Linked DNA regions of Macaca fascicularis. The protein of the gene in region 1 interacts with the protein of each later gene in a biochemical or structural test. Links are inferred from orthologs where the notes say so. Each region holds a gene or a part of one and is shown in the gene's direction. Other genes may lie near its edges.

The links.
Region 2: the proteins of CDKN1A (region 1) and SCML2 form a complex in vitro, tested with the Homo sapiens proteins (2 studies listed by BioGRID and IntAct). The link is inferred for Macaca fascicularis from reciprocal best matches to the Homo sapiens genes CDKN1A and SCML2.
Region 3: of the proteins of CDKN1A (region 1) and SKP2, one has a biochemical effect on the other in vitro, tested with the Homo sapiens proteins (3 studies listed by BioGRID). The link is inferred for Macaca fascicularis from reciprocal best matches to the Homo sapiens genes CDKN1A and SKP2.
Region 4: the proteins of CDKN1A (region 1) and CCND3 form a complex in vitro, tested with the Homo sapiens proteins (2 studies listed by BioGRID and IntAct, with this or other methods). The link is inferred for Macaca fascicularis from reciprocal best matches to the Homo sapiens genes CDKN1A and CCND3.
Region 5: of the proteins of CDKN1A (region 1) and AKT1, one has a biochemical effect on the other in vitro, tested with the Homo sapiens proteins (2 studies listed by BioGRID, with this or other methods). The link is inferred for Macaca fascicularis from reciprocal best matches to the Homo sapiens genes CDKN1A and AKT1.
Region 6: the proteins of CDKN1A (region 1) and CCNA1 form a complex in vitro, tested with the Homo sapiens proteins (2 studies listed by BioGRID and IntAct, with this or other methods). The link is inferred for Macaca fascicularis from reciprocal best matches to the Homo sapiens genes CDKN1A and CCNA1.
Region 7: of the proteins of CDKN1A (region 1) and CASP3, one has a biochemical effect on the other in vitro, tested with the Homo sapiens proteins (3 studies listed by BioGRID). The link is inferred for Macaca fascicularis from reciprocal best matches to the Homo sapiens genes CDKN1A and CASP3.

The regions. Positions count from the first base shown.
Region 1 is NC_088378.1:134,986,861-134,991,355, reverse strand, and holds the start of CDKN1A (cyclin-dependent kinase inhibitor 1), read left to right. Parts: upstream 1-1,598; 5' UTR 1,599-1,824; exon of another isoform or gene 1,825-1,875; intron 1,876-4,495. UniProt on the Homo sapiens protein: Plays an important role in controlling cell cycle progression and DNA damage-induced G2 arrest. Involved in p53/TP53 mediated inhibition of cellular proliferation in response to DNA damage.
Region 2 is NC_088395.1:18,113,341-18,117,131, reverse strand, and holds part of SCML2 (sex comb on midleg-like protein 2), read left to right. Parts: intron 1-3,031; coding exon 3,032-3,145; intron 3,146-3,791. UniProt on the Homo sapiens protein: Putative Polycomb group (PcG) protein. PcG proteins act by forming multiprotein complexes, which are required to maintain the transcriptionally repressive state of homeotic genes throughout development.
Region 3 is NC_088380.1:36,468,356-36,472,146, forward strand, and holds part of SKP2 (S-phase kinase-associated protein 2), read left to right. Parts: exon of another isoform or gene 1-548; intron 549-2,550; coding exon 2,551-2,764; 3' UTR 2,765-3,791. UniProt on the Homo sapiens protein: Substrate recognition component of a SCF (SKP1-CUL1-F-box protein) E3 ubiquitin-protein ligase complex which mediates the ubiquitination and subsequent proteasomal degradation of target proteins involved in cell cycle progression, signal transduction and transcription.
Region 4 is NC_088378.1:129,633,422-129,635,872, forward strand, and holds the end of CCND3 (G1/S-specific cyclin-D3), read left to right. Parts: coding exon 1-74; intron 75-523; coding exon 524-691; coding exon of another isoform or gene 692-897; 3' UTR 898-1,668; downstream 1,669-2,451. UniProt on the Homo sapiens protein: Regulatory component of the cyclin D3-CDK4 (DC) complex that phosphorylates and inhibits members of the retinoblastoma (RB) protein family including RB1 and regulates the cell-cycle during G(1)/S transition.
Region 5 is NC_088381.1:172,986,860-172,991,405, reverse strand, and holds the start of AKT1 (RAC-alpha serine/threonine-protein kinase), read left to right. Parts: upstream 1-1,737; 5' UTR 1,738-2,022; intron 2,023-4,546. UniProt on the Homo sapiens protein: AKT1 is one of 3 closely related serine/threonine-protein kinases (AKT1, AKT2 and AKT3) called the AKT kinase, and which regulate many processes including metabolism, proliferation, cell survival, growth and angiogenesis.
Region 6 is NC_088391.1:16,020,602-16,025,173, forward strand, and holds the start of CCNA1 (cyclin-A1), read left to right. Parts: upstream 1-1,685; 5' UTR 1,686-1,812; coding exon 1,813-1,920; intron 1,921-2,219; coding exon 2,220-2,408; intron 2,409-4,572. UniProt on the Homo sapiens protein: May be involved in the control of the cell cycle at the G1/S (start) and G2/M (mitosis) transitions. May primarily function in the control of the germline meiotic cell cycle and additionally in the control of mitotic cell cycle in some somatic cells.
Region 7 is NC_088379.1:189,420,434-189,424,852, reverse strand, and holds the start of CASP3 (caspase-3), read left to right. Parts: upstream 1-1,609; 5' UTR 1,610-1,677; intron 1,678-2,352; 5' UTR 2,353-2,520; intron 2,521-4,419. UniProt on the Homo sapiens protein: Thiol protease that acts as a major effector caspase involved in the execution phase of apoptosis. Following cleavage and activation by initiator caspases (CASP8, CASP9 and/or CASP10), mediates execution of apoptosis by catalyzing cleavage of many proteins.

The DNA.
Region 1 (4,495 bases):
AGACAGCAGTGGGGCTTAGAGTGGGGTCCTGAGGCCGTGCTGTGGCCTTTCTGGGGTTTAGCCACAATCCTGGCCTGACTCTAGGACCAGGCAGGCCGAGGGGGTCTGCTGCTGTGTCCTCCCACCCCTACGGGCTCCCATTCACACAGCAGAGGAGAAAGAAGCCTGTCCTCCCTGAGGTCAGCTGCGTTAAAGGAAGAAGACTGGGCATGTCTGGGCAGAGATTTCCAGACTCTGAGCAGCCTGAGATGTAAGTAATTGTAGCTGCTCCAAGCCTGGGTTCTGTTTTTTAGTGGGATTTCTGTTCAGATGAACAATCCATCCTCTGCAATTTTTTAAAAGCAAAACTGCAAATGTTTCAGGCTCAGAAAGGAGGCAAAGGTGAAGTCCAAGGGAGGGCAGGGGTGTGCGGTAGATGGGAGCGGATAGACTTGTCATTCATCTCTGTGTCTGTCAGAAGCACCAGTAGACACTTCCAGAGTTGTCCTTTATTTATGTCATCTCCATAAACCATCTGCAAATGAGGGTTATTTGGCATTTTTGTCATTCTGGAGCCACAGAAATAAAGGATGACAAGCAGAGAGTCCTGGGCAGGAGGCAAAAGGCCTGTGTTCCAACTATAGTCATTTCTTTGCTGCATGATCTGAGTTAGGTCACTAGACTTCTCTGAGCCCCAGTTTCCCCAGAAGCGTACAGGGGCTGTGTGGGGAGTATTCAGGAGACAGACAACTCACTCGTCAAATCCTCCCCTTCCTGGCCAACAAAGCTGCTGCAACCACAGGGGTTTCGTCTGTTGAGGTGAGTGTAGGGTGTACAGAGATTGGTTCAATGTCCAATTCTTCGGTTTCCCTGGAGATCAGGTTGCCCTTTTCTGGTAGTGTCTCCAATTGCCTCCTTCCTGGAAGCATGTGACAATCAACAACTTTGTATACTTAAGTTCAGTGGACCTCAATTTCCTCATCTGTGAAATAAACGAGACTGGAAAAGCATTCCGGCCTCAAGATGCTTTGTTGGGGTGTCTAGGTGCTCCAGATGCTTCTGGGAGAGGTGACCTAGTGAGGGATCAGTGGGAATAGAGGTGATATTATAGAACTTTTCTGGAAATTGCAGAGAGGTGCATCGTTTTTATTATTTATGAATTTTTATTTATTAATGTCATCCTCCTGATCTTTTCAGCTGCATTGGGTAAATCCTTGCCTGCCAGGTCGGACTCCCCGACCCCCAGAGTGGATCAACGGTGGGCCAGAAAGGGGGCTCATTCTAACAGTGCTGTGTCCTCCTGGGGAGTGCCAACTCATTCTCCAAGTAAAAAAAGCCAGATTTGTGGCTCACTTCGTGGGGAAATATGTCCAGCGCACCAACGCAGGCGAGGGACTGGGGGAGGAGGGAAGTGCCCTCCTGCAGCACGCGAGGTTCCGGACCGGCTGGCCTGCTGGAACTCGGCCAGGCTCAGCTGGCTCGGCGCTGGGCAGCCAGGAGCCTGGGCCCCGGGGAGGGCGGTCCCGGGCGGCGCGGTGGGCCGAGCGCGGGTCCCGCCTCCTTGAGGCGGGCCCGGGCGGGGCGGTGGTATATCAGGGCCGCGCTGAGCTGCGCCAGCTGAGGTGTGAGCAGCTGCCGAAGTCAGTTCCTTGTGGGGCCAGAGCTGGGCGCGGATTCGCCGAGGCACCGAGGCACTCAGAGGAGGTGAGAGAGCGGCGGCAGACAACAGGGGACCCCGGGCCGGCGGCCCAGAGCCGAGCCGAGCGTGCCCGCGTGTGTCCGTGCGTGTCCGCGAGGATGCGTGTTCGCGGGTGTGCGCTGCGTTCACAGGTGTTTCTGTGGCAGGTGAATGACGGGCGTGGATCGGTGCGCGCTCGGCTTGCGCACACGGTATCTGTAAGTGCGCGGGTGACGGGGGTCGGGATGTGCCGGAGACCCGGGGCAGAGAGCGGGATTACCAGTACAGGGATCCCCGGTCACGATCCCCGCCCCTGGAAACCCAGCTGGGGCGAGGGAGGGCGTGGACCGGACTGCTCTGAGAGCTCGCCTTTGGCTGCGGTTGGCTGCAGGCCCCAGGCGCAGTTTGCTCGCGGCCTGGGGATGAAGTCCGTGTCCCTGGAGGGGCCCAGGAGGGGCGAGGAAAGCGGAGTGGAGTAAATTCGTCTAGGATCGGTCCTAGGCGGCTCTCGGATCCAACTGGCGCCGCCCTGGCCCAGGTCCCAGGTTCAGGTCCTCTACGCCACTGTGTCCACCACCTGGCTGGGCACTGAGGTCAGCGCGGGCTGTTTCCCGGCCCTTGGGAGTGTGCCAGGACACGTCCCCTAAGGACAAACGAGGAGGTGACTCACTGTGACAAGGAGACCCCAGGGAACGGACTGTATGAGGTCAGAACCCCGCCCGGGAAGGGGTACAATGGGACTCCCGAAGCCCTCTCCCCTGCCCCGCCGCGGTCTCCGTCCTCCCATCGGCACAGTGACCTATTTGGCTGGAACAGCTTGTTCCCAGGGAAGCAGGGCACCGGAGGTCCAGGACACCGCGTCGGGTCCCCGCTTCGCTAGGGGTCGGGGAGTCACGACTCTGCGCTGGGCGGGCTCCAACCAGCCTGTCAGTCGGGGAAGGGCAAGGGTCTCCTCTAACTCTTTCCCACCGCGGCCGGGAGAATCACGGCCCAGCCTGCCCTCGGGTCGGGGCGCTGGACTCCGGGGCGAGAGCAGAGCCCACGCCTGGGTGGGAGGTGGTAAGGGGTCAGGTCTTTGCGGGGTGGGGATTCTGGGGGGCACGACGCTGCTCAGGGCCTCCATCAGCTGCCTCGGTGGCGCCCCGACCTAGCCCAGATTCCCTCTCGGAAAGCGACAGGGCTGAGCGGAGCAGGGGGGCGAGTCGCCCCCTGGGGCGCCGCCACTTGGCGCGGATCACAGCGCATCCTCTCGGTCCAGAACCCCTGGGGGACACTTGCGCCCTCTTCGTGCGGAAAAGCATCTTGGAGCTGGGTTTGGAACTTGGGGCGCCCAGGCAGCTTCCCCTCTCCTTCCCTCCCTCCACGTCGCGTTTCTGGGAGGACTTGCGAGCGGTTTTGTTTTCGTTGCTCCCGTCTATTTTTATTTTCCAGGGATCTGACTCATCCCATGCTTTGGGCGTGGAGATAAGGTGGAGGGGTCGGCTCCCGGCGCGTGTGTGTGTGTGCGCGCGCGCGCGTGTGTGCGTGTGTGTGTGTGTGTGTGTCAGAGACGGCACAAGAGCGCGCGGTTTCCCAACAGCGGCGGGAGTTTCGGAAGCCTGGCCGGCTCAGCGTGACGTGTTCGCGGCGCCCCCCCGCTGTCCCCTCCCATGCTCCCCCTCCCCACCCCAGGGTGACGCGCAGCCGGAGTGGAAGCAGAGTTTTGGCGGGCGAGCAGCGCCTTGCAGGAAACTGACTCATCACTACTCCCTCCCGCAGTCCGAGGCTCTGCCCACGCACCTCCCACCCCGCGCGTGATTTCCTGGAGGCCGGCGCCCCCTCCCGGCCCTGGCGGTAATAGCACACCGGCTTTCCCGCGGAGTGGGGCTGGCCGGCGCGAACCGCCGCGGCTACTCCGAGAATAACCCCTATGCCATTACCACCCCTTCAAAGGAGCACTCCTTAGATTCAACAGTATTTACTGAGCTCTTACTGGAAATTAAAATATGGCTGAAGTCTAAGGCAGCAAAGCCAATAAAGGAGGCTATTTTCAGTTGTTTGTAAAACACGGGTTTACGTTTCTGTTTTCTTTGGGCTGAAAGTTATTATGACAATGAGCATGAGAGCAGATTTTGATGGGCGAGGAGAGGCCTATAAGAGCCATAAGAGAAGGATGGGTGGTAGAAGAGGAGAGGGTACCTGCCTAGATCCTAGTCCTGTCTTGAGCTCCCGGGAGCCAGGGAATATCCAGCTCCTTGATGAAGCCCTAGGCGGGCTCCTCCTCCTTGTGCCTATGATGTATTGAGACCAAGAATGTCCATTTCAAACACACCAGTGTGTCCCCCTTTGGCTGGCACCCCAAGAGTGCCCATCTGAGGAACGGTGCCAAACACTTGCTTGAAACTTCAATTTGGATTAAGTTGGTCTCAAGAGGCAGGGATTTTTCAAAATCTATATTTTGAAAAAGCTCCCTAGGTGCTTCTTTCTTTCTTTCTTTCTTTATTTCTTTCTTTCTTTCTTTCTTTCTTTCTTTCTTTCTTTCTTTCTTTCTTTCTTTCTTTCTTTTCTTTCTTTCTTTCTTTCTTTCTTTCTTTCTTTCTTTCTTTCTTTCTTTCTTTCTTTCTTTCTTTCTTTCTTTCTTTTTCTTTCCTGCCTGCTTGCTTGCTTGCTTGCTTTCTTTCTTTCTCTCTCTCTCTTTTTCTTTCTTTCTCTTTCTTTCTTTCTTTCTTTCTTTCTTTCTTTCTTCCTTCCTTTCTTCCTTTCTTCCTTTCTTTCTTCCTTCCTTCCTTCCTTCCTTCCTTCCTTCCTTTCTTTCTTTCTTTCTTTCTTTCTTTCTTTCTTCCTTCCTTTCTTCCTTTC
Region 2 (3,791 bases), on another chromosome or scaffold:
TTTTTTTAGTTCTTTAGACATGATTTTCATTTTTTAGTTCCTTGAATATATTTATAATAGCTGATTTAAAGTATTTGTCTAGGTCGGGTGCAGTGGCTCACGTCTGTAATCCCAGCACTTTGGGAGGCCAAGGCGGGACGATCTCTTGAGGCCAGGAGTTTAAGACCAGTCTGGCTAACATGGCGAAACCCTCTCTCTACTAAAGATAAAAAAATTAGCCAGGTGTGGTGGCATGTGCCTATAATCCCAGCTGCTTGGGAGGCTGAGGCACGAGAATCATTTGAACCTGGGAGGCAGAGGTTGCAGTGAGCTGAGATCATGCCATTGCACTCCAGCATGGGCAACAGATTGAGACCGTGTCCCAAAATAAAGTATTTGTCTAGTAAGTCCAATGTCTGGACTTCCTCAGGGACAATTTCTGTTAACTGATTTTTTTCCCTTTGTATGGACCATATTGTTTCTTCACATGTCTCCTTTTTTTGTTGTTGTTGAAAACTGGACATTTAAAAATCATATAATATGGCAACTCTGGAAATCAGATTCCCTTCTCCCTAGGGTTTGTTGTTGTTGCTGGTGCCGTTTAGTGACTTTTCCTGGACTAATTCTGTAAAGTCTGTATTTCTTTGTTAAGAGTGGTCACTGAAGGCCGGGCGCGGTGGCTCAAGCCTGTAGTCCCAGCACTTTGGGAGGCCGAGACGGGCGGATCACGAGGTCAGGAGATCGAGACCATCCTGGCTAACACGGTGAAACCCCGTCTCTACTAAAAAAATACAAAAAACTAGCCGGGCGCGGTGGCAGGCGCCTGTAGTCCCAACTGCTCGGGAGGCTGAGGCAGGAGAATGGCGTAAACCCGGGAGGCGGAGCTTGCAGTGAGCTGAGATCCGGCCACTGCACTCCAGCCTGGGTGGTAGAGCGAGACTCCGTCTCAAAAAAAAAAAAAAAAAAAAAGAGTGGTCACTGAAGTCTGCTTGTTTAGCTTAATGTGGTTAATGATTGGGTAGAAATTTCCTTAAATACCTGGAACCAGTGTATCTCCCAGCCTTGGCCAAGGGGTTTTCTGTGTGTGTTGGGACATAACGTCAGTGCTCCAAGAGGCAGCTTGTAAGTTGACTTTGTGCAGAGCCTCAAGGTCAGCCAGAGATGAAAGATTAGGGTGTTCTCATGTCTTTCCTGGGCATGCATATATACATCCGAGCACATGCATGTGAACTGTTTAGATTCCCAGGAATATGTCTGTGTTTTTCAAAGTCTCCTAGGGGGCATCTTATACCCAGTTTTTCCTTTTAAGCTTTTTGGCCAACCTATTGTTAGCCCTGACTGGTAATATGGTCTCAGGCAGCTGCAAAGTTAAACAGTTGCCACTATTTTCCCCCATCAGATGCCCTGGAGATGGGGTTGTTCACACAGAACAAGCTCTAATTTAGGTCAAATAAAGACAAACCCTGAAAGGGAGCTTTTCAGTGAGCTTCAAGACTGGTCTAAGTGATAGTTCTCTGGGCATGGGGCTTTTGGAGAGCTCCAAACCCATTATGTCCCCATCCAGTGACTATTGCATGGCTGTTTTTCATACCTGCCGTAGTTGTGAAGTGTTGGTTTTCAAGGCTACTGTGAAAATGGGGTGAGGGGGATTATATTAGGGCAAGTTAAAATGCCACAGAATTTGCTGTTTTTTTCTGAGATCCATTCATTTTTCTTAAACACTTTGGATTGTGGCAAGTCTTTAATTTCCAGAGGTTTGAAAAAGTTTTTATAGTTTTTGCCACTGTTTTCAATGTTTTTATGAAGGAGTAGATTTTTGGAGGTCTTTGATCAGTCATCCTGGAAGTGCTTCTCTGATGATTTAAAAAATACTTTGTAAATTACCTGGCTTTTCCTAGTTATCTCTGTAGGAACACTTTCCTCCCTTAGCCTTACTACAATACCCAGAAGCAGAAGTCGAGTCAATTTTATATTTGTTTCAGCCCCAGATAGTAGAGCATACCCAGCTTCGTAAACTTTTCATAAAGCATTAGTACATTACAAATAAATGATGAAGACATTTTCTAATCTTGCCAAGATTCTGAGGGAAATAAACATTTATAGAAAACTATATTTTAGAACTCGAATTTTCCATATTATTAAGTTGGTATGAAAAGCCAATTATTTCTTTCCTTAGAATTTAATGAATTAATTAATTGTAGAAATTTGAGATATGTTTTGCCTGTTGGTTTTATAGTCCATTATTAAAAATAAAACTAAAGTGGTAAGAGCTCTACCGGACTCATTGGGATTCACTGAGTAACTAGATTGAGCTAAAGGTTACTCATCATAACATTTTGAGCAGCATGCGTGGCCCTCAGCTGAAATTTTGAACCAGATGAAGTTTGACTTTGATACTCATTGCAATCTTTCTTCTCTTTTGAGGTCTACTATCAGACTTTTAAGATTTTTCTTATACCTTATTTGTCCTTTTAGTTGGAGGTTAAATCAGGATATTTGTTGATACTTAGGGTATAATTGATAATTGAAGCTGTCTTTACTTTCAGGATCATGTTTTACAGAGTGGTCCTTTAGGTAGAAGTGCGTTTGGTTGAATGATAAGTAAGCAGTAGACTTGTTTTAAGGGTAGCTCTAAGCCAGGATTGTTACTTAACAAAATGGATGTTCATTATGCCATATCTTTTATTTAATTTCTCTGAAGTTTTAACTCCTCCGGCTCATGGGAGCAATTTTCCCAGGCCATTTTAGACACATTTTAATGGGTTGCCTCACTGCCTTGTGAGATATTTAGAGAGATCTGATAACCCCAGAATAAAGAAGCCTAGATATACTCCTTCTGGAAATGCTTTTAAGTCTTGAATATTATTTCAGTGAAAATATAAAATAGGATGAAATAGACACATGTTATTCAAGAACATCAAATAATTGAGAAGTTGTCAATGAAGGTATTGTAGGCAAATGATGTAGAAACAAGTGTTTCATGCTGATGATATGAAAATGCTTCAGTATATTAGTTCGTTATAACAGACAACTGTTTTTTCTTTGAGAACAGCAAAAGAAGATGTAACAGAAAGGCAAAGTACCAAACGATCTCCTCAGCAATCTGTACCATATGTTGTTCCTCTCTCTCCTAAGCTCCCCAAAACAAAGGAGTACGCATCTGAAGGTAAATAGCATTTACACCTCCCAGGATTGGGAAGAAATGTTTCTCTGCTACCACTTGTGTATACTCTTGGGGTGGTAGTATTGGAGGTAGAGAGGTAAATTTGCCTAAATAAGTTTGGCAGTTAGGCTACTACTTGGACAGCTTTGTTGAACACTTCATTCCCTTCAGAAGTGCATGGCTGTTATTTCTCCATAGAAAAAAAAAATTATAATAACCTAATAACCTTTTCCCTTCACTTTTGTATTGCTAAAAATTGGTAGAAAGAAGAATAGAAAAACCTCTGCCTTTCTCCAGAGAATGTGTTAACTGCCCAAGTAGTAAACAAATGTTAGAAACCAACTGTATGATCATATTATAACAAATAGTAATGAAGAACTGCATTTCTAAAAACAAATGCTTTAGTGAGGTGTTTATAGTCTTGGTGGCAAGACTGGCAAATGATAGTAAGTTACTCTGAAAAATATAGGTGATATGCAATCACTTTGGACTGTAGGACAATGTCCATTAATATAAATGCCAAGGAAGGCCAAGTCGGGTGGATCATCTGAGGTCAGGAGTTCGAGACCAGCCTGGCCAACATGATGAAACCCTGTCTCTACTAAAAACAAAAAAACAAAACAAAAAAACCCAAAAGATTAGCCGGGCG
Region 3 (3,791 bases), on another chromosome or scaffold:
TGACTTTAATTTCAATCATTTTGGCAACTGATATATTTGAAGTTTATAATAAAATTTCCAGGGTGTTTCCATAGTAATTTCCAGAGAGCCACCTATGCTAAAGAACTTAAGGCTATCTATTTCTCTGAAGTGGGAAAATACAATTTGAATGTCTTTCTTCTGTAGTAATGTTTTAAAATACTTGGGAAACTATAAATTTTTCTTCCCCAGGACCTATTCCCATTGTATTTATTCTCTTACTTCTTAATTGGTCTTCTTCTCTATGTCTAAACTTCCTTCTAATTCTTCCCTATTTCTCATTCAAGTAAGAAACCCAAACTGGAGATAGTAAACTAATCTGAGATAAGACTAAAAAACTTCTGTGGTAGGAGCATTTGTAGTTGAGGCATTTAAGATTTTATAAGGAAAACAGGATTATTGTATAGATAAGGTAAAGAGCAATCCTGTGAGTTCATAAATATCTTTTATTTTCTAAAATTCGATATACATAAGACATTGGTGTTATTTTACACTTCTTACATTAGAAATAAAGCCTCTTGAACTACTTATTTCTATTTGCTATCCCTTAGTTTGTTCTTCAGTCTCTTCCATTGTAGTTTTTAAAAGATGCTTGCAAATTTTTTATTCTGAGTTGCACATACCAGAAGGCTTTGTTTTTTGTGTATTTTTTTTCTCCTTAAAATCTTAGACTTTCTGGATTTTTGACTTGGGAACTAGTTCTTCATCCATCATTTTATCTTATATAACCCCCTTATATATAACACCCGAGTGTGTTCTGAGAGTCTGGTCTTCATTTCTTTCCTCACCAAATCTCTTTCCCAATGCTGTTGTAAGAACATGTCCTCCTCTGCCATCTGCCATTCCTCCTTTTCTTACTCCACCTACAGTTTCTTCCCTTAAATATTCTCCAGCGCAGAATGGCTCACAATTTGGCTAATTTGGATATACCAGAACCAGAATTCTCATAGTAATTACAATGTTTCTCAAATTTCACATGGGGGATTCAAAGTTGGAGCTGGATTGCTGTCATCGTAAGTGATTAAGTATCTGTGTATTGTGATCTTACTTTGATACTGTTTCTACATTCCAGAAAGCAGTTTACTTAATGACAGCAATTTGTTCTTTCCGATTTTCTTTGGTTATATGCCTTTAGATCTTACTGTCCCCTTGTGAACAAGCATATTTATTTCATTTGGATAGTGCTTTTATTTTGTAAATTAGCCTTCATCCTGTACTCAGCTAACGTATATTAAACATTTGTGGGGTTTAAGACACCTTGTGGAATGTAGAATAAATACATTTCGGGGAGTAGTGGGAAGACTGGAAGAGCAGGTTAGACACGGAAGGTCTTCAGACTAGCTGAACAGCCTGGGTTCTGTAAACACGAGAGAAGCATCAAAGGTTTTGGAGCAGATGAATGACTAACGTGAGCTAGGCTTTAGGAAGATGCCTTGGAAATTAGTATATAGAACAGGCTAGAAGGAAGAAAGACTGGAGGTCAGGTGACAGTTACAAGGAAGGTTTGGGGCTTTTTAAAAGTAATTATTGACAATGTGAAGATATAAAGGATGTTTCTGACTTTAGGTCATTGAGGTGCTCATTGATCTGTAGTAGGACTTTGTTGAAATTCCAAAATAAATGTTCCCTTTCCTGAGACTTTGTACTGTGTGTCCCAACCGTGAGCAAATACAGATCAGAGAGTTGAATTTCTAGGCACATAGATCTGAGTTAAGAAGAAAAAAATCATTACCAACACCAAACAGTATTTACTTTGGAGAAACAGAATTTGAGAAACTGAATTTGTGAAACAGAATTTCACTGTTAACAGGGTTGAATTTCATCTAATGTGAAATACCTAAAGGGACTGGCTTATCTATGCAGAAAAAAATGGTAATACGTAGGGAGGTAAGATGGCTATTGCCTCCTATAAAAGGTGTGATTTTTAACCCATTTTCTCCACCTGTACCCAACTACATAACCCTATCTAAAATATCTTAGGGAAGTCAGTGGTAGTTTTCATCACACATAATGGACTTGTTGACTATGAACCATTATTAAGAAGTTCATCAATCCTGACAGCATCTCCCTTTGAGAGATGAGCCTAGTTCAAATAAAGGTCAAGTTCATATCCTTAATTTGCATGTAACCTGTGGTGGTTCCAGCTGGTGCCACAGTCAAACATTTGTTTCTACCATCCCTCACTTGCTAGTTTCTTCTCACAATACAGTAACCCTATTCAGATCACTATATAAATCACAACAGGAGAAAGGAAGCAAATATGGTTGGATTCTTAAAGAAACCTGAGTTTCTAAGGTTATTAGGAACCTCATTCAATAAAATGCAGCAGTGCGTTTCCTAATGCCTGTTGCTCAAGCGATATGGTCTGTGCTTTCCAGTTTAATTTGCTATTTTCTCAAATCATTTATTGTAAATTGTATTTTCAGACTGCATTTTGTAGATGATACAAATTGTAAAATTTGGGTCATATAACTCTAGTCAAACAGTTTCCATAGATACTGCCATTCTGAAAGTCTTTTTCTTCCTTTCCAGTGAACTTGGAGAAATTCCCACACTGAAAACACTACAAGTTTTTGGAATCGTGCCAGATGGTACCCTTCAACTGTTAAAAGAAGCCCTTCCTCACCTGCAAATTAATTGCTCCCATTTCACCACCATTGCCAGGCCAACTATTGGCAACAAAAAGAACCAGGAGATATGGGGCATCAAGTGCCGACTGACACTGCAAAAGCCCAGTTGTCTATGAAGTATTTATTGCAGGATGGTGCCTCTTCTTTAGAACAGGGAAAATAAGCAGGAAGCCCAGTTGCTGGAGTACTTAGCTAGTTTTATTCTTGGTTTTCCCTTTGCCTTCATTCTGCAAGTATACTAGTGAACCATTTGAGGGGGAAAACTATGAAATCTTGCTTTTTGAAATGATTCTAAAAGCTTCTATCACTGCTTTGCTCTTAAGAGCCAAAGTTGTAGGCCTTTTGAAATTTTGGGAGAGTGAGCCTATAATTTCAAGACACCTTAAAGAGCAAAATTTGAGCCACCTCTTCCAAGTACCCTTCTTATTAAGTCTATTCAGAATCAAGCTTAAAAATTACCACCAGCAAACAATCTTCATAGCCCATATAACTTTTATCTATTTAATTTTATAGTATTGCTTTATAAGACAGCTTAGAAGAACAATAAGCTATTTGTATTATGAGCTGAACAAAAAGAGAATCATAGGATAGTAGCATCTAAGGCCATCTTTTCTGGGAATAGGAAAGAGAAAAATGCATTTTAATTTTGCCTTTAGATTTGAAATTAGGTTAATAGAAATAAGTAATCCCATGTAATTCACCTTAAAACTTACAGAAGACTAAACATTACAAAACCCAGAGGTATAGAATTGGTGTAGGATTCGAAGGCCCAGGAGACAGTTTTCTATGACAGGTTAATTTGAAGTATCCTGTAATGTTCATTAAGTTACTGTTTCCAGAATCTAAATTAGATGAGAAATATAATTGTGGTTTTCTAACTTGATAATCAAATTATGTTAACATGGGTCCTTTAGCTTTTAAAATGACTTGCTTTGTTTTAGAAAGGTGGTATTAATCCAGTCTGTATTCTTGAAAATTTGGATGGAAGAATTCTGAAGTTGCCTGCTGTTTTCCTTTAGCGCTGAGGTTCTTAAGGTTACTTTTTTATTACTCTGGAATCAGGTTTTTAAATTGTCTTTTTTTTAATGATCTCTCACCAATAATTGTTTGAAACTATCCATTTTTAAGGTCATCAGACCTACA
Region 4 (2,451 bases), about 5.4 Mb from region 1:
AAGGCCTGGGTGCCTGCTCCATGTCCGGGGATGAGCTTACAGAGCTGCTGGCAGGGATCACTGGCACTGAAGTGGTGAGTGCTGGGCAGCTGGGCAGCAGCCTCTCCATTCATATAGTGCTATGCCCTGAGCCTCCAGTAGAGGGAAACCTCCAACCCCAACCTGGTCCTGAGTCCTGGTTTCACAACCTTGGGGCTTTGTGGCTTTTTATCTCCTGCCTTGGTCTGGAGAAGAGCAAGTATCTTGGGTGGGGTGAAGGGCACTGGCCCTAGGGGCTCTTTTCTTGCCAAGTGGTGTGCTGGAGTGGGGGTGGGGGATTCGGTGTCAGATGCAGGGCTGCTCTCACACTCCCTTGCCACATCCTCTTGCTAGTTTCTGAGAACTGAAGAGCGATTCCTGGGGCTGGGCTGTGGCCTAACCTCCCCAGACTTCCCCATGTGTTGGGAGCTGTCCTTCCCCTGCACCTGCTGCCAGATGCTATGGGGGGGAGTGTTCAGTCCTCACTGTTCTCCCATGTTCCCAGGACTGCCTGCGGGCCTGTCAGGAGCAGATCGAAGCTGCACTCAGGGAGAGCCTCAGGGAAGCCGCCCAGACCAGCTCCAGCCCAGCGCCCAAAGCCCCCCGGGGCTCCAGCAGCCAAGGGCCCAGCCAGACCAGCACTCCTACAGATGTCACAGCCATACACCTGTAGCCCTGGAGAGGCCCTCTGGAGTGGCCACTAAGCAGAGGAGGGGCCGCTGCCACCCACCTCCCTGCCTCCAGGAACAAACCACACCACATCTGAAGCCTGAAGGGGCGTCTGTTCCCCCTTCACAAAGCCCAAGGGGTCTGGTCCTACCCATCCCCGCAGTGTGCACTAAGGGGCCTGGCCAGCCACGTCTGCATTTCGGTGGGTAGTCAAGCTCCTCCTCCCTGCATCTGACCAGCAGCGCCTTTCCCAACTCTAGCTGGGGGTGGGGCAGGCTGATGGGACAGAATTGGATACATAACGCCAGCATTCCTTTTGAGCGCCCCCCACCCCTGGGGGCTGTTTTCAACTGCCAAAATGCTCTAGTGCCTTCTAAAGGTGTTGCCCCTTCTAGGGTTATTGCATTTGGATTGGGGTCCCTCTGAAATTTCATGCATGATAGACACATATGAGGGGGAATAGTCTAGATGACTCCTCAGTACTTTGGAGGCCCCTATATAATCCGTGCTGACAGCTGCTCCTAGAGGGAGGGGCCTAGGCCTCAGCCAGAGAAGCTATAAATTCCTCTTTGCTTTGTTTTCTGCTCAGCTTCTGTGTGATTGACAGCTTTGCTGCTGAAGGCTCATTTTAATTTATTAATTGCTTTGAGCACAACTGTAAGAGGACATAACGGGGTCCTGGCCATCCCACAAGTGGTGGTAACCCTGGTGGTTGCTATTTTCCTCCCTTCTGCTACTGGCAAAAGGATCATTGTGGCCGAGGAGCTGCTACAGCCTGGGGTGGGGTCATGCCCTCCTCTCCTGTTGTCCCTCTGCCCCATCCTCCAGCAGAGAAAATGCAACAGGGATGCCCTGGAGGTGGCTGAGCCCCTGTCTAGAGAGGGAGGAAGCCCTGTTGACACAGGTCTTTCCTAAGGCCACAAGGTTTAGGCTGGTGGCCCAGGACCATCATCCTACTGTAATAAAGATTGTGAAATAAAACTGGCTTTGGCTTCTTGGATTGGTGTGTGGGTTAAGTCTATTTCTGGACTGTATGAGGTAAGGAGGCGGAAGCCAGTGGTCTAAAGCAGGGATCATTGAGCCTTTTCTGTAAAGGGCTGGATAGTTAGGCTTTGCGGGCTATATGGTCTCTGACCCAAATATAATCAGTTCTCTTTATAATGTGACCTATGTGTTCCTGAAAATCACTATGCCATGCAATTTGCACAATAAAAACCACAGGTCTCATGGGAAAAATGGGGCTTGAAGCACAACACTCAAATGAGTGACACATGTTAAAAAAAGGATAGCTTGGTTTTTACATGTCAAATGGTTGAGAAATACATAAATATTACAATAAATACGGCCTTTTATCTTGAAGACATGCACTTTGCTTTTGGAAGTGGATGTTGGAAGGGTTGCTCAACACAGGTGGGCAGCTAAGTGAGGTAGCTGGTACATGTTCAAGTGTGAGTTTTGTGTACTAGTTAGGCTTGGTTCAGCTGGGTACAGTTTCCCATATTCACCTAATGTTTCTCGAGGATGAAATCATACACAAGCAAACATTAAGCCTGCGTTATGATCAAACTGTTCCCAAATATATTAAATGGGTTGGAACAAATGCACAATTTTGGAAGCAAATAAGGGTTATAGCAGGATTATACTTAACTCTGCTGTTGTAGCACAAAAGCAGCCACGTGAAACATGTAAATGGGTGAGCATGGCTGTTCCAACAAAATTATGGATGCTGAAACTGGAATTTCATGTAATTCCTACCTATCACAA
Region 5 (4,546 bases), on another chromosome or scaffold:
TGGAGTGTGGGGCCCACAGCGGGTTGCAGGCACCAGCGGATGCCAGGGCACCAGGCTGGGAAGAGTGGGAGGCCTTCTCGGAGACAGCCAGTGCAAAATAAGCAGGAGGTCCGACCCCTTCAAGAACAGCCCGCGGTGTCACTGCCTCTTCCATGAGAGGGTGCCCTGCTCCCTCCCACACCCCCCAGCCTCGGCCACTTGCTGGCCTCCTCTCATGGCTCTCTCATCCTCTGCTTCCTCCCTGAATTCCTTCCTCTATCCTTGCATGGCAGAGCCGAGGATGGTGGGCGGATACCAGGAACTCTTCCAGGGGGAGCAATGGGCAGGTGGGACAGTCCCAGAGGGAGCCCCAGGTGGCCCATGGTGCAGGTTTGCTGGGTGAGAGACAGACACCAGACGCCCGGGCTCTGGGGGCAACCCTTGGGTCAGGTATCCCACCCAGGCGGCACAGACCACTGGGCCTCTGACTTGGCCCCCTGGAGGTCGGGCCCTTTCTGGGGTTACAAAGTCTGAGCTGGGAGGGAGCAGAGGTGCTCAGGGGAGAGGCAGGAATGGGGAGTCCCCTGCCTGAGGAGCCAGTGCCCCCATGCAGCGGGAGAGAGTCCTTCTCTTGGTCAGCCCCAAGAGGCAGGGATGAAGCCCCAGTTTTGGCTGCAGACTCTGTCCTGAGCACTGGGCCGAACCTGCTGCCTCTGTCTACATCTCCTCCCACCCCCTCCCCTGCTGCCAGCTGAAGTCACTCAGGCTGAAAATAAAAATGCTCCCCCCACCCCAATACTTAGCCTCAGGAAGGTTAACTCACAAGAGTCCCTCTTTCACAAAAGGGTTATTATCAACTGTGGGCCTCTGGAATGGGGGAGGGGCAGTTGTTGGAGGAACTTCTGGCTGGGAAGGGGTCGGGGTGGCAGTCACCTGCATCGTCCTGTGAGTGTGCAGGAGAAGGGGGTCTGTGTCCCATTCACTCACTCCATACCGGGGCCATCTGCCTCCCAGTGGACTTCGGACTGGGTGTCGGGGCTGACCAAGTCCACCCAGCAGGGAGGGTCCTGGGCTCTCAGCTGTCACAGCCCACCCTAGACACCGCTCCTCCTCTGTCTGGTGTCTGCTCCCAGCTCGAGGTGGGACCCAGGCAAGGTGTGCCCCTCTTCTCCCACTCCCCAGCAAAGTCTCCCTTTTGTGAGTGTAGCTGCCAGTACCTAGGTGAATGGTTGAGTCCCCTCGGAGCCTTCCCGCTCCTTGGAGGCACACCTCCAACTGACCTCCGCACTTCCCCCAGAGGCACAAGGTCCTGGGATTGGGCCTTTTAGGACACTCTTGGCCGTCCCTCCACGCCCCCCAGAGTGGGGCAGTGCATAGGTGGGGCACGGCCTGAAAGTCAACCTAACCCACCCCCGCCCCGCGCAGTGGAGGCAGAAGTCCGGGATTCGTCCCTGACCGGTCTCGGGCCTGGTCTAGTAGGGTCAGGGCAGAGCGAGTCCAGAAGCGCCGGGTCACTTTACAGATGGGGAAACTGAGGCCAGAGAAGGCGTGGCCCCGGGACGGGCTGGCTGGTGGCCGGGCTCCGTTAGCGGCCCAGCCCAGGCCCTAGGCCGCCGGGGGCCGCCCCTCAGCCCAGCCGCGCGCTTCCCGGGCGCGCTCCGCCCTCGCCGCGGGCCCGGGCGGCCGCGCGGTGGGGACGCCCCGGGCGGCGGAGGCGGATGTGGGCGGGCGGCTCCGGGCGCGGGGCGGGCGCGGGGCGGGGAGAGGGCGGGCCGGCGGCGGCGGCAGGACCGAGCGCGGCAGGCGGCCGGCCCAGCGCAGCCAGCGCGGCCCGAAGGACGGGAGCAGGCGGCCAAGCACCGAGCGTCGGGCACCGGGCACCGAGCGGCAGCAGCACGCGAGGCCCGGCCCCGAGCAGCGCCCCTGCCCGCCGCGGCCTCCAGCCCGGCCCCGCCCAGCGCCGGCCCGCGGGGATGCGGAGCGGCGGGCGCCGGAGGCCGCGGCCCGGCTAGGCCCGCGCTCGCGCTCGGACGCGGCGGCCCGGTGAGTCCCCGCCCGCCGCGGCCGCCCGGGCCCGGATTTCCTCCCCGCGGGCCGGGCCGCTTTGTTCCCGGCCGGTCGGGCCGGGGCGCGAGCCGCGGCGCCGCCAGAATGGAGGAGCGGGAGCAGGAAGTGGCCGAGCGGGCCTGGGCGGGGAGGGCGCGGGGCGCGCGGGCCCGGCCAAGGGAGGGCGGCCCCACGCCGGGCGCCAGGGGTGCAGGCTGCCGGCCCCAGCCTCCCTCATGACCTTGGGGAGGCCGCTCCACCCGGCGAGGCCGGGGCCCGGGAGAAGGGGCGCTGCCGGGCCTGGGGCTGGGGCTTGGGGTGCCCCTGCGGGCCGTGGGGCTCCCCGGGCGTTGGGCCAGCGAGACAGCCGGCGGAGGTGCCCCGGGGTTAGGAGAAAGGCTCGCCGCGGCCGGCCTTCAAGTTTGTGGGAGGGCCCCGGAAGGAGACTTCATTTCCCACGGACAAAAAGTTGTACGTGGTGGCGGGGTACCCAGGCTAGCCACAAAGGACTGACCCTCCTGGGCCCCGGAACTGCTTCCTGTCTTGGGTGGGCCCTGGAGGTCCTGCCTGCTCGTCCCAGAGGCCGAGGCTTAGAGGGCAGCTGGGGCTTGCCCCTTAGATTGAGTATCCTGGGGCGCTAGCGAGCCTTGGTCCTGTCGGGACGGCCCCTGAGTGCTGCTGTGGTAAGCGGGGTTGGCTTGGGCCCCTGCTCTGTAGCCAGAGGCCGCCCCACATTCACTCCTGGGTCTCTTGGCCTTGCTCCAGGTGGCCACTTCTTGACTGCTTTGAGTCCCTCATCCAAGCAAAGGGCGGAGTGCATTGGTGGAGGCCCGGTTCCCTCTCCCCGGAGCTGTATAGACTTATCATACACCAGGGTTCTGGAGGCAGATGGAGGAACCCTTTCGAAACACAGAGTATTTTTTTTTTTTAAGTTGTGACTTAAATAATAACAGTAGCAAGAATATGTGCTTATGGTAAAGGCAGGTGGCAGGTACGGAGGCTGTGGGAAGTTGGGGTCCCTCCGCCTCCACAGGCAGCCCTGTACTGGCCTGGTGTATACGTTTCTGTGCAGACGTACACCACCCTGTGTGTGCACAGATGTATTTTTACACATGGCTCTGGACAGCTGTCTGACTCTGTCAGCAGCAGGCCTTGGAGGGGCGCAGGCCCTGGTGGGGGGTGGGGGGACATCCAGAGGTCTTTGAGTCCAGCCCTCTGCCTCCAGGCCACGCCCACTCTGTCGTCAGAGCCCCCTGTGCCTGAGGCGTGCGCGGCTGGGAGCCCTGCCCTCCTCAGGTCTGGCCTGCTTTCCATCCTGCTGAGTACTTGGGGCATTTCCCTCTTTGAGCAAGGTGTAGTCTTCCCTGTCCTGGCATTAGACACGAGGCAGTGGGCCTTCCTGCCATTCTAAATGTAGCTTAAGACAGTCAGTGCAAAGCACCCCTCTGTGGGTGTCCAGCCCAGGCCTCAGGAGGCCAGAAAGGTTGCCTGGCGGGAGAGCATCTTGGCTGACTGTGGAAAGACCCATGTTGGGGTCCATTCCACAGAGGTCGTCAGGTATCTCTGCCTGGCCTGGAGGTCCCAGAGAGGACCCTCCTCCCCTCAGGAAGGCCCGTCTGGAAGGGTAGCAGAGGACTGCTCACAGGAAGAGCATGCCAAGTGCTCTTTCTCGGGATGCCAGGGGTTGGTGATGTGGGAACTGGGTTTTGAGGGATGCCTAGGAGTTCATCTATCAGAGGGGAAATGAGGAAGCCATGCAGGATCAATGGATAAAGTGTGCTCAGGTGAGGGCTGGCTGGTGGGCCACTGCAGGGTAGGGGCCTGTCCAGTGCTCCCCCACTTACTTGCTGCCTCCCAACTGCTGTAATTATGGGTCTGTAACCACCCTGGACTGGGTGCTCCTCACTGACCGACTTGTCTGAACCTCTCTTTGTCTCCAGCGCCCAGCACTGGGCCTGGCAAAGCCAGAGACGCCTGGTACACGTTGGCCAAATGAATGAACCAGATTCAGACCGGCAGGGGCGCTGTGGTTTAGGAGGGGCCTGGGGTTTCTCCCAGGAGGTTTTTGGGCTCGCCCTGGAGGGCTCTGGGCTGCCGTTTGCGCCAGTGGCCTGCATCCTGGTCCAGTCTTCTTCATGTTTGAATTTCTTTGCTTTCCTAGTCTGGGGAGCAGGGAGGAGCCCTGTTCCCTGTCCCAGGATCCATGGGTAGGAACACCATGGACAGGGAGAGCAAACGGGGCCATCTGTCACCAGGGGCTTAGGGAAGGCAGAGCCAGCCTAGGTCAAATAAGTCTCAAAGGGACTGCCTGGAGGAGGCAGCCTGTCAGCTGGTGCATCAGGTTAGGCAGGCTGGGAAGGCCTTTTGGGGATGGGGATGATTTGTCCAAAGGCTCAGGGAGGTGGGAATGGGGAGGTGAGCAAGGCAGCAGCTCTCAGGGCCAGGTTGTTGAGGGGAGTGGTGGCAGGGGCTGGGGACTCAGCCTAGAATGAGGAGAGGCCCAGGTCCAGGGAACTGTGTT
Region 6 (4,572 bases), on another chromosome or scaffold:
CTGACTCTGTTGTGGCAATCTAGATGTTACCAGAGTTCCCGTGTTTCCTTCGGGAGGCACAGGAAATTCAAAGGCACAGGAAATCTGGGGTGCAAGAGGACTGCTGTCTCTCAAGGAATAGAAGTCTGTGACAAACGTATAGAAATGAGTTTCATGTTGAACAAGATCCGTTTCTGTGTTCCTCCCTCATCCAGCCTTGATTCTCCAGATGCTTCCCAACTTCTTATTAATATTTGAGTCAACTGCACGGCTTTCAACCCGAGATTTTGTTAGAATACTTCTATTTTCCCCTTAAAGCAATGCCCACACTCAGTTTGCTTGGTAAAAATGTTAATAACGCACACTTTAAAAAAGGCGATAACCGTTGCTTGCATAAAGTGGCTATTTGACTACACTTTGGGTCTGATTTAGAGATTTAGGGGTGGATGTTTAAACAAAAAAGCAAAAGTAGTAACAGACTACAGCATTGGTAATGTGTGTGTGCATATATACATTAAAAAAAAAAAAAAAAAAGTTCGATTCTTTCACCTGGCTTGTCCAGTCACCTATGCAGGCGTCTGAGCCCCCGGGTTTCCAGGAGCTCCCCCGTATAAGGACCCCAGGGACTCCTCTCCCCACGCGGCCAGGCCGCCCGCCCAGCCCCCAGCCCGGAGCGCTGCCACCGACCCCCTCAGAGTCCCAAGCCCCAGCTGTGTTGCCCGCGTTCCTTCCTCTTCCTGGGCCACAATCTTGGCTTTCCCGGGCCGGCTTCACGCAGTTGCGCAGGAGCCCGCGGGGGAAGACTTCTCGTGGGGACCTCGAGCACCACGTGCGACCCTAAATCCCCACATCTCTGCCGCCTCGCAGGCCACATGCACCGGGAGCCGTGCAGGACAGGTGCCGCCCGCAAGAACCCCCAGCGATGGAGACGCCACACTGCCGCGACTGCACGTGGGGCCACCCCGCCGCGTCCCGGCCGCCGCCCGGCAGGAAGCGTAGGTGTGTGAGCCGACCCAGAGCGAGCCGCGCCCTCGGGCCAGCGTGGGCAGGGCGCCGCAGCCTGCGCAGCCCCGAGGGCCCCGCGTCGCTCTCCCGAGCCAGGGTTCTCAGGAGCGGGCCGCGCAGGAGACGTTACAGGGGGTTGTTAGCGGCTGTTGGGAGAACGGGTCACAGAAACAGTCCCTTCCAAAGCCGGGACCACCGTGGGGTGGGCGAGTCCGCCCTCCCAGGCCGGGGGCGCGGACCAGAGGGTACGTGTGCAGACTGCGGCGGCCGGCCCCACCTGGCCCGGGCGGAGACGCACAGCTGGAGCTGGAGGGCCGTCGCCCGTTAGTCCCGCAGGGGCCTGAACGCCCAGGGGTCGCGGCTTGTCCACCCGGAGCGAGTCAGGTGAGCAGGTCGCCATGGCGATGCGGCCGGGGGGAGCGCACGCCAGCCGCGGTCGGCATGGAAACGCTCCCTCCGGGAGCGGTCCGGGAGCGCCGCTGATTGGCCGATTCAACAGACGCGGGTGGGCCGCTGAGCCGCAGCGCTGAGCCGGGTCGCCTCCCAGGCTGGAATCCCTCATCACTTGGTACCTCCCTCCCCGCCCTGCCCTGCCCCGCCCCGCCCTTCCAAGTCCGGCCCCGCCCGGCCCCGCCCTGCCCCGCCCGGCCCTGCTCCGCCCTGCCCGCCACCTCTTAACCCGATCCTCCAGTGCACTTGGCAGTTGTTCCAGATACATAGAAAGATATCGCCGGGAAGAGCTGGGCCCGATTTGGGGTCCAGGCAGGTTTTGAGGCCTCCTATCTGGTGGGAGGAGGCCGCAGTGCACCACCCTGCTCGTCACTTGGGATGGAGACCCGCTTTCCCGCAGTCATGTACCCTGGATCTTTTATTGGGGGCTGGGGAGATGAGTATCTCTGCTGGGAAAGACAGGGGCTCCCAGATTTCAACTTCCAGGTAACGTGGGTTTAGTATCCCGACTTGAAGGCTTGTCAGAATGTTTCTCTCCTTCCAGCCCAACAGGAGGTCTTGGGATAAAAAAAACCCTCAGAGATTGGAATGACTGTTTTGATTCAGAGCAACTTTGATCGTTTGTGCGGTGGCTCATGCCCTTTCAGCACTAACAATTGCTGGGAAGATCAGCAATTGGTGTTAGTCCCTTTGCTTGGTGCTCTCCCTCCTAGAGGTTCTCTTGTGTCCTTGGAGCCCCGGGTGGACGGGGTTGAGTAACCAGCTTGTCTCTCTTTCCCTGGTAGCAGCAGCGCGTGGAGTCTGAGGCAATGCACTGCAGCAACCCCAAGAATGGAGTTGTGCTGGCTACAGTGGCCCGAGGTCCCGATGCTTGTCAGATACTCACCAGAGCCCCGCTGGGCCAGGATCCCCCGCAGAGGACAGTGCTAGGGCTGCTAACTGAAAATGGACAGTACAGGAGGACCTGTGGCCAGGTAATGACTCAGACGCACTGGGAATGATGCTTGTGGAGAACGGCCCTCCTCTTTGGTGCCAGGTGCTTTTCTCTTGCTTTTGTACCTACAGCTCCCCCTGAGTATTACAACCCTGGAATCTGGACTACAGGGAAATTGATCTTTCCTTTCCTTTCCTTTCCTTTCCTTTCCTTTCCTTTCCTTTCCTTCTCCTTTTCTTCTCCTTTTCTTCTCCTTTTCTTCTCCTTTCCTTTCTCCTTTCCTTTCTGAGAGAGAGTTTCGCTCTTGTCGCCAGGCTGGAGTGCAGTGGCGCTGTCTCGGCTCACTGCAACCTCTGCCTCCCGGGTACAAGTGATTCTCCTGCCTCAGCCTCCTGAGTAGCTGGGATTACAGGCGCCCACCACCATGCTCGGCTAATTTTTGTATTTTTAGTAGAGATGGGATTTCACCATGTTGGCCAAGCTGGTCACTAACTCCTGACTTCAGGTGATCTGCCCACCTCGGCCTCCCAAAGTGTTGGGATTATAGGCGTGAGCCACGGTGGCAGGCCAGTTGATTTCTTAAGATCACCTTGAGGGGTTCGGTTTTCAGCTAGAAATAGTGATTAGTTTTCTTTGTTATTTTTTCCACTACCAAGGAAATAGGTCTAGGAACTGTTTGGATTATGTATATTAAAGTAATTTAAGGGCTGGGCTAAAAGGAAATGTGAATGCTTCCAAATAAACTGTGGAAGTGGGGTTCCTCCAGGTCAGAGCAGTGTTCACACTGATGCAGGCTGTGCCTAAGGGAAACCTGGATAATCTTGGCTGTGTTCATTGGGGATAGTGTTAAAATCAGGATTAGATTAGGCTAGACTCGATTACTCCAAAAAGCGTGCTTTGAAAGCAGACCTCTTCCCAGTACTGACTAAGCAGCTATGCTAACAGGTAATGGTCCCTCAGGTATTAGTTGTGTGAACTTAACTGATCATAGATACCTTAACAGATGAAAACTATACCTTCCCTATTTCGTAGGTGAAAAAATCTGAAAGGTTTAATTAAGCCTCTGCCAAAAGAAAGATATGGTAGAAACTAGATTAGAAGCCCCTCATCTACTGACTCTTCACGTGATCTGTTCAAAACTTTGGAGAAAATTGAGTGGAAGTGGTTTTAACAAATTTTAATTTGCTTAGCGATGTTTGCTTTTTAAAACTTAAAGCCTGAGACTTGGTTCTTATGAATTGTCAGTTGTGCTTATGTTGAGTGGTCGCATTTTAAATTCCCAGTTGCTAATCTCTTATGTTACCTGGTGCCACTTCTGCATTTCACTGTACCTATCCTCTACAACCTGCTTAGAAATCTATTTTGTACCTTCGTTTCTCTGTTTAATCCTCAGTAACCTCCTCCTTCATGCTCACTCTCAGCTGATGACTTTGTATCTTATTTTCCTAAAAATATAGAAGCATCCAGAAGAGAATCTGCACATGTTCCTGTGTGCCATATAATCTGCCATCCACAACCTGTTATGTGTCTGCTATGTCCCTGCTGTCATGCGAGGTCGCCCCCCAACCCCATGTGTACAATATACTCGTGTCTTCTTGTTTCTTCAAGGATGTCACTCTAGCCACTTTTCTTTCTCTCATATCTCATTGGTTTTTTTCTTTTCTACTGGGCCCAACCTGTAAGCATACAAATATATTGCCATTTTTCCATCTTAAAAACCTGTCAACTAAACGCTCCCGCTGAGTGTTACCACCCTGGAATCTGGACCACAGGGAAGAAGTTGATTTCGTAAGATCACCTTGACCCGTCCCTTTTTCAGCTAGAAATGGTGACGAATTTTCTTTGTTAGTTTTCCAATATCAAGGAAATTGGTCTAGGAACTGTTTGCATCATGTCGATTAAAGTAATTTAAGTGCTTAAAGTAATTTAAGTAATGGGACAGAAGCTGTCCCATTTAAAGCCACCTATCTTGAGAGTTTGTCATATCTCGACATATACAATGTTGCCTTTCCCACTAACATGTAAGCTCCGTCCAGGTGTTGATACAGGTTGTGATGTTCACTGTTGTGTGTCCACTACTTTGAACAGTGCCTGGGCCTGACCAGGATGGCACACAGTGTTTGTTGGATGAATGCTCTCTGTCTCTAGTTCTTTTTCTGCTCTATTTTGACTCAATTAATAGTCTTTTCCTTCCTCGGCTGATC
Region 7 (4,419 bases), on another chromosome or scaffold:
GGTTTTACCATCTTGGCCAGGCTGGTCTCAAACTCCTGACCTCCTGATCCACCTGCCTCGGCTTCCCAAAGTCCTGGGATTACAGGCATGAGCCACCGCGCCTGGCCTTAACCTCTTTAAATTGTAATTCCTACCCCGAGGGATTGTTGAAAGGATGAAACAAACAAATGTGTTATGAAAATGTAAAAGCATGCAATAAACTCTCAGCAAGTTGTAACGATACATAAAACTAAGTATATTTCTGTGCAGAATATAGTCCCTATAGTCGAATAGGCGCAAGCGTTAGAAATAGGCTCTGCCATGGGGTCCCTGATCTGACTTCTGAATGTCAAGAACCTTTTGAAATCTGATGCAGAATGTCGTGCTCACGTGTTGGAGAATTCTTCTGCGAAAACGATTCACAGTTTGCTTCAGGGTCTAAAATGAGTTCATGACCCAAAATAGGAAGGGGATCAGTACGGCAGTGTATAGCACACCCTTCACGTAACTATTAATAACTCCATCTTAGGAAAAGACCCCATTTTATATTTCATAGGGCATTTGCCAACAAGGATACTATACTTTAATAAACAAGTAAAAAACTAGTCCGCATCCACTCAGGTAAGGACACAAACAAGCGCCCTCTTCCACTGTCAGTTCTCACCCGGACTCTGCCTTCGGCAGCTCCAAACAGTCTTAATTGACGCTGTCTCTGCAGAAGGACCTCTCGGGCCCAAACCAGGCTTCTTCTTCTCTTCTTCACTTCCTCTGGATTGGTTGTTCATCTCTTTGTCCTCTCTCTTTTTTTCCTCGGGATGTTAAATGCTACTTTGTTTGCTGTGGGATGCTTAACATGTAACGTTTATATATGGATTAAGTACACTACTGCGTACGGTTTGTAGTACTGACTGATGCGCGGAGTGGCTTGAGCCCGTGTGTCCAGCATGCGTGGACCTGCTTATTACTAGCCCGGCACCCTGGCGACAGGAGGCTAAGGCTTTTGATTTAGGGAGAGGGACCTGGGGGTAACCCCAAGAAAGGCCTCAGGTCACCGGAGGGGGGACGGAAATTACCGGAGGGCGTCCCGGCCCGCTCCTCTTCTTCTCAGAGCTCACACTGGGCAGCAGGCCTGGCCTTGTCTCCCTTCTAGGTCCCCGTTGGGCCTGGCGCGGTTTCCAACTCTTCCTCAAATTACCTCCAGAATCCCGCGCTGGGAGCGGAAGCCCGCGGACTCTCAGGAAGACCCAGCTTTCAAATCCGGGGCGGGGGAGCGGGGCCGGGCCTCGGGGGCGGGCCTCGGGGGCGGGCCTCGGGGGCGGGCCTCGGGGGCGGGGCCTCGGGGGGCGGGGACCCGGGCGCGGGCGCGGGCGCGGGCGCGGGCGCGGGCGCGGGCGCGGGCGCGGGCGCGGGCGCGGGCGCGGGCGCGGGCGCGGGCGCGGGCGCGGGCGCGGGCGCGGGCGCGGGCTGCAGCGGGCTGGCGGCTCCTGGGGCCCAGCCCGGCCCTGGGTTCTCGGGCGGGCGGGAGCTGGGGGACGGGCCCCAGGGAGGGGGCGCGCGGGGCCGACAGGGGCGGGCCGGGGGCGGGGCTAGCGCTGGAGCACGTCCCCAGGCGGCGGGCTGCTGAAGCGGTGCAGACGCGGATCGTAACGGGTGGCTGCTGCTGTGAGGCGGTTGTGGAAGGTGTGAGAAGGCTGTGCGGTGAGTGCCGCGCTCGCTCCGGGCGGTCAGCCCTGTCCCCGCTCCCTGCGTCCTCCCAGGCCCAGCGCCCGCCCGGGGACCTGGGCGGCGGAGCCTTTGTTTTGCCACCTCACCCGGGGCGGCAGCGAGCAGTGAAGCCCGGGGCCGGGGCCGGGGCAGCCAGGCAGCGGGTTAAGGCTTTTGATTTAGGGAGAGGGACCTGGGAGTAACCTAAGGAAAGGCCTCAGGTCATCGGAAGGGAGACCTGACCCGGGGGCGGGAGGCTTGCCTGGGGCCGGGGAGGCCAGGCAGCGGGAGGCCGGCCCGGGGGAACCGAGGCCGGGGCCGGGAGGTCGGGCACGGGGCACCGAACTCCGAGGGCCAGAGACCTGGCGGCCGGGCCTGGGGCCAGGAGGCCGGGCCAGGCAGCGGGAGGCAGCGGCAAGCTGGAAAGCAGACGGTGCTACCGCCGGCGGAGGAGTGGCCCCGGGAAGCGGTGCGGCGAGGGCTGGGGCGGCCGGGTGCTGACTGTGAGGGACTCGCCCTCGGGGCTGATCCTTCCAATTTTGGGCGAGGCTTCCGTCTCTGCTGCCTTCCATGCCTGGGGCCTGGACTATCCCGGGTTGACTGTGTGGTTTAGCTCTTCCAGAGAGCTAGTTGCAGGGTTTAAAATCCAATTCCTTTTCGGCCCTGCAGAGTTTCGTGAGTGCTCACAGCTCATCCCTGTGGCTGTGTCTCCGTGGCCACAGCTGATTGGCGTCGCCTTGAAATCCCAGGCCGTGAGGAGTGAGCGAGCCCTGCTCGCGCTCGGCGCTGTTGTTTTCAGTGGGTGTGCTCTGCACCTGCGTCTTTCCCCCATTCTCAGTAAGTGGCACCCAAGCAGGAAACCGGAAAACATCCTTCTCGCCCCCCTCTCGCCCACCTACTTCTTTTCCCGCTTAGTCACCAAGCCTTGTCGACCTTGTAAACGTCTGCCAGGTCTGTCCACGTCTCTCCATCTCCACAGCAGCCTCTTCCCTGGTCTCTCCACCTCCAGACCCGCCTGCTCCTTTGTAGTCCACTTTTCACAGCACAGAGGGATCTTTATGAAATGAAAGTCTAGAAAGCGCGTCCTTTGCCCTTAGGTTAAACCCAGCACTTAATACGGCTGACAAACCCCAGTACGTGTTGGGTCCTGAGTGCCCCCACCCCTCCCTATCTTTAGCACCGATTCACTTTCTGCACAGCAATGCTGACCTTCATAGCTAGTGTCTGCCACACCTCTGCATTCCCCTTCTCCCGCCATCACATTTGATTAGAAGTAAGAGCTGCTACTTAAACTTCTGTTTTCATTAAAACAGTTCAAGGTTCAATCTTCCTCTACTGTGTTCTTTCTGCAGCCAGCGTTCCCTAAGAGAGATGTGTCATATCCTCTGCAGTTGCTTGTTTACTGTCTTCCCTGCTAGATTTGCAAGCAAACTCCAGGAGGGATGGACTTGGTTTATCTTGGTGTCCTTAGAGTCTTTCACCAAATGCGGGCCCTGGCACAACGCAGTGAATGCCCATCCGTTGTGTTTTTACTTTTATGCCCTATCTAGAAAAAGTAGACCTGGTTTAGGATTATTTAGCAAATAATAGTTAGAAAAGAAATGGTAGAGGTGACATGGAGTCACTGAAACCATGTAAACCTGCAAGATAGCAGAAAGAGGGCCAGGAAAGGTGGTTAGACTAGACTGTATCAAAATGGGCTCAGCCACTGTGAGTGTGCGTGCTGTGGTTACATCATCTCTAAAAGTGAAATGTAAAGCTTAAATCATCTCTATCACAGCCCGATGCTTGGGCTTTGGTTTTGCTTTGCCTTTTTGTAAAAGAAGGTTTTTGAAAGTGAAAATATATTTTAGTGAATGCACGAACAGTTTATTGGAGTATGGCAATAAAACCTGTTCAGAGTAAGAGACATTAGACATTGTACCTAGTTAAATCAGGTTTGCTTTTGCTATCCTGAATAAAGGCCTTGACTCTTGCCTTTTGAAGAGACTGGCATCTGATATAGGCAGTTATAATGCTTCTTCACTGTTTTGCTTTCAGACCTCATTTAACACAATCTCCTACTGCTTCATCCCCCTACAAAGCAGTCTTTATTTTCATGAATGATATATTACATTGCTTCTGGTGCCTACTATTAGATGTTTAAGCTCTGCCCCAAAGATAGGAAGCACTGGTATTTGGGCCTAAAAAAAGATGTGAGAATTCTTAGATTTATATAATGTTCTTTCTCTGCATGTTTTGTTCTTACCGTCACATGTTGCCTGTAGGGCTTCTTTGCATTACAATAATGCAATCAAGTTACCTGATATGTATTGGACACCGTCTGGCATCTGCTTTGTTGAGCCACTTTTGAATGCCAGTGAGCATCGGTATAAGCCCTGCATAGAGATAGGGTTTGTCTCGTCCACTGCTTGATACACTCAGGGTCTAGTATAGTACTCTGCACACAGTTGGTGTTCAGTAAATTGTTATGGTGCAAATATCAAATGAATAGATGCTACTGAATCTGACTTTTGGCAGTTTCAGTCTTCCAGACAGTAGGGTTTCTTCAAGCGGTTTTAAACCTGAATCTGATTCTGCAAAGTAGTCATTCTTGGTGGGAGTGGTGAGCCTTTAATGTTATCTGTAATTTTTATAAAAAAGCATTCAAGATCCTCCATTTTACACTTATATAAATCATTTAGATCTGTGAAGGCTTTCCCGTTTTCTCCTTTTGTCCCTCCAAAAACACTATCC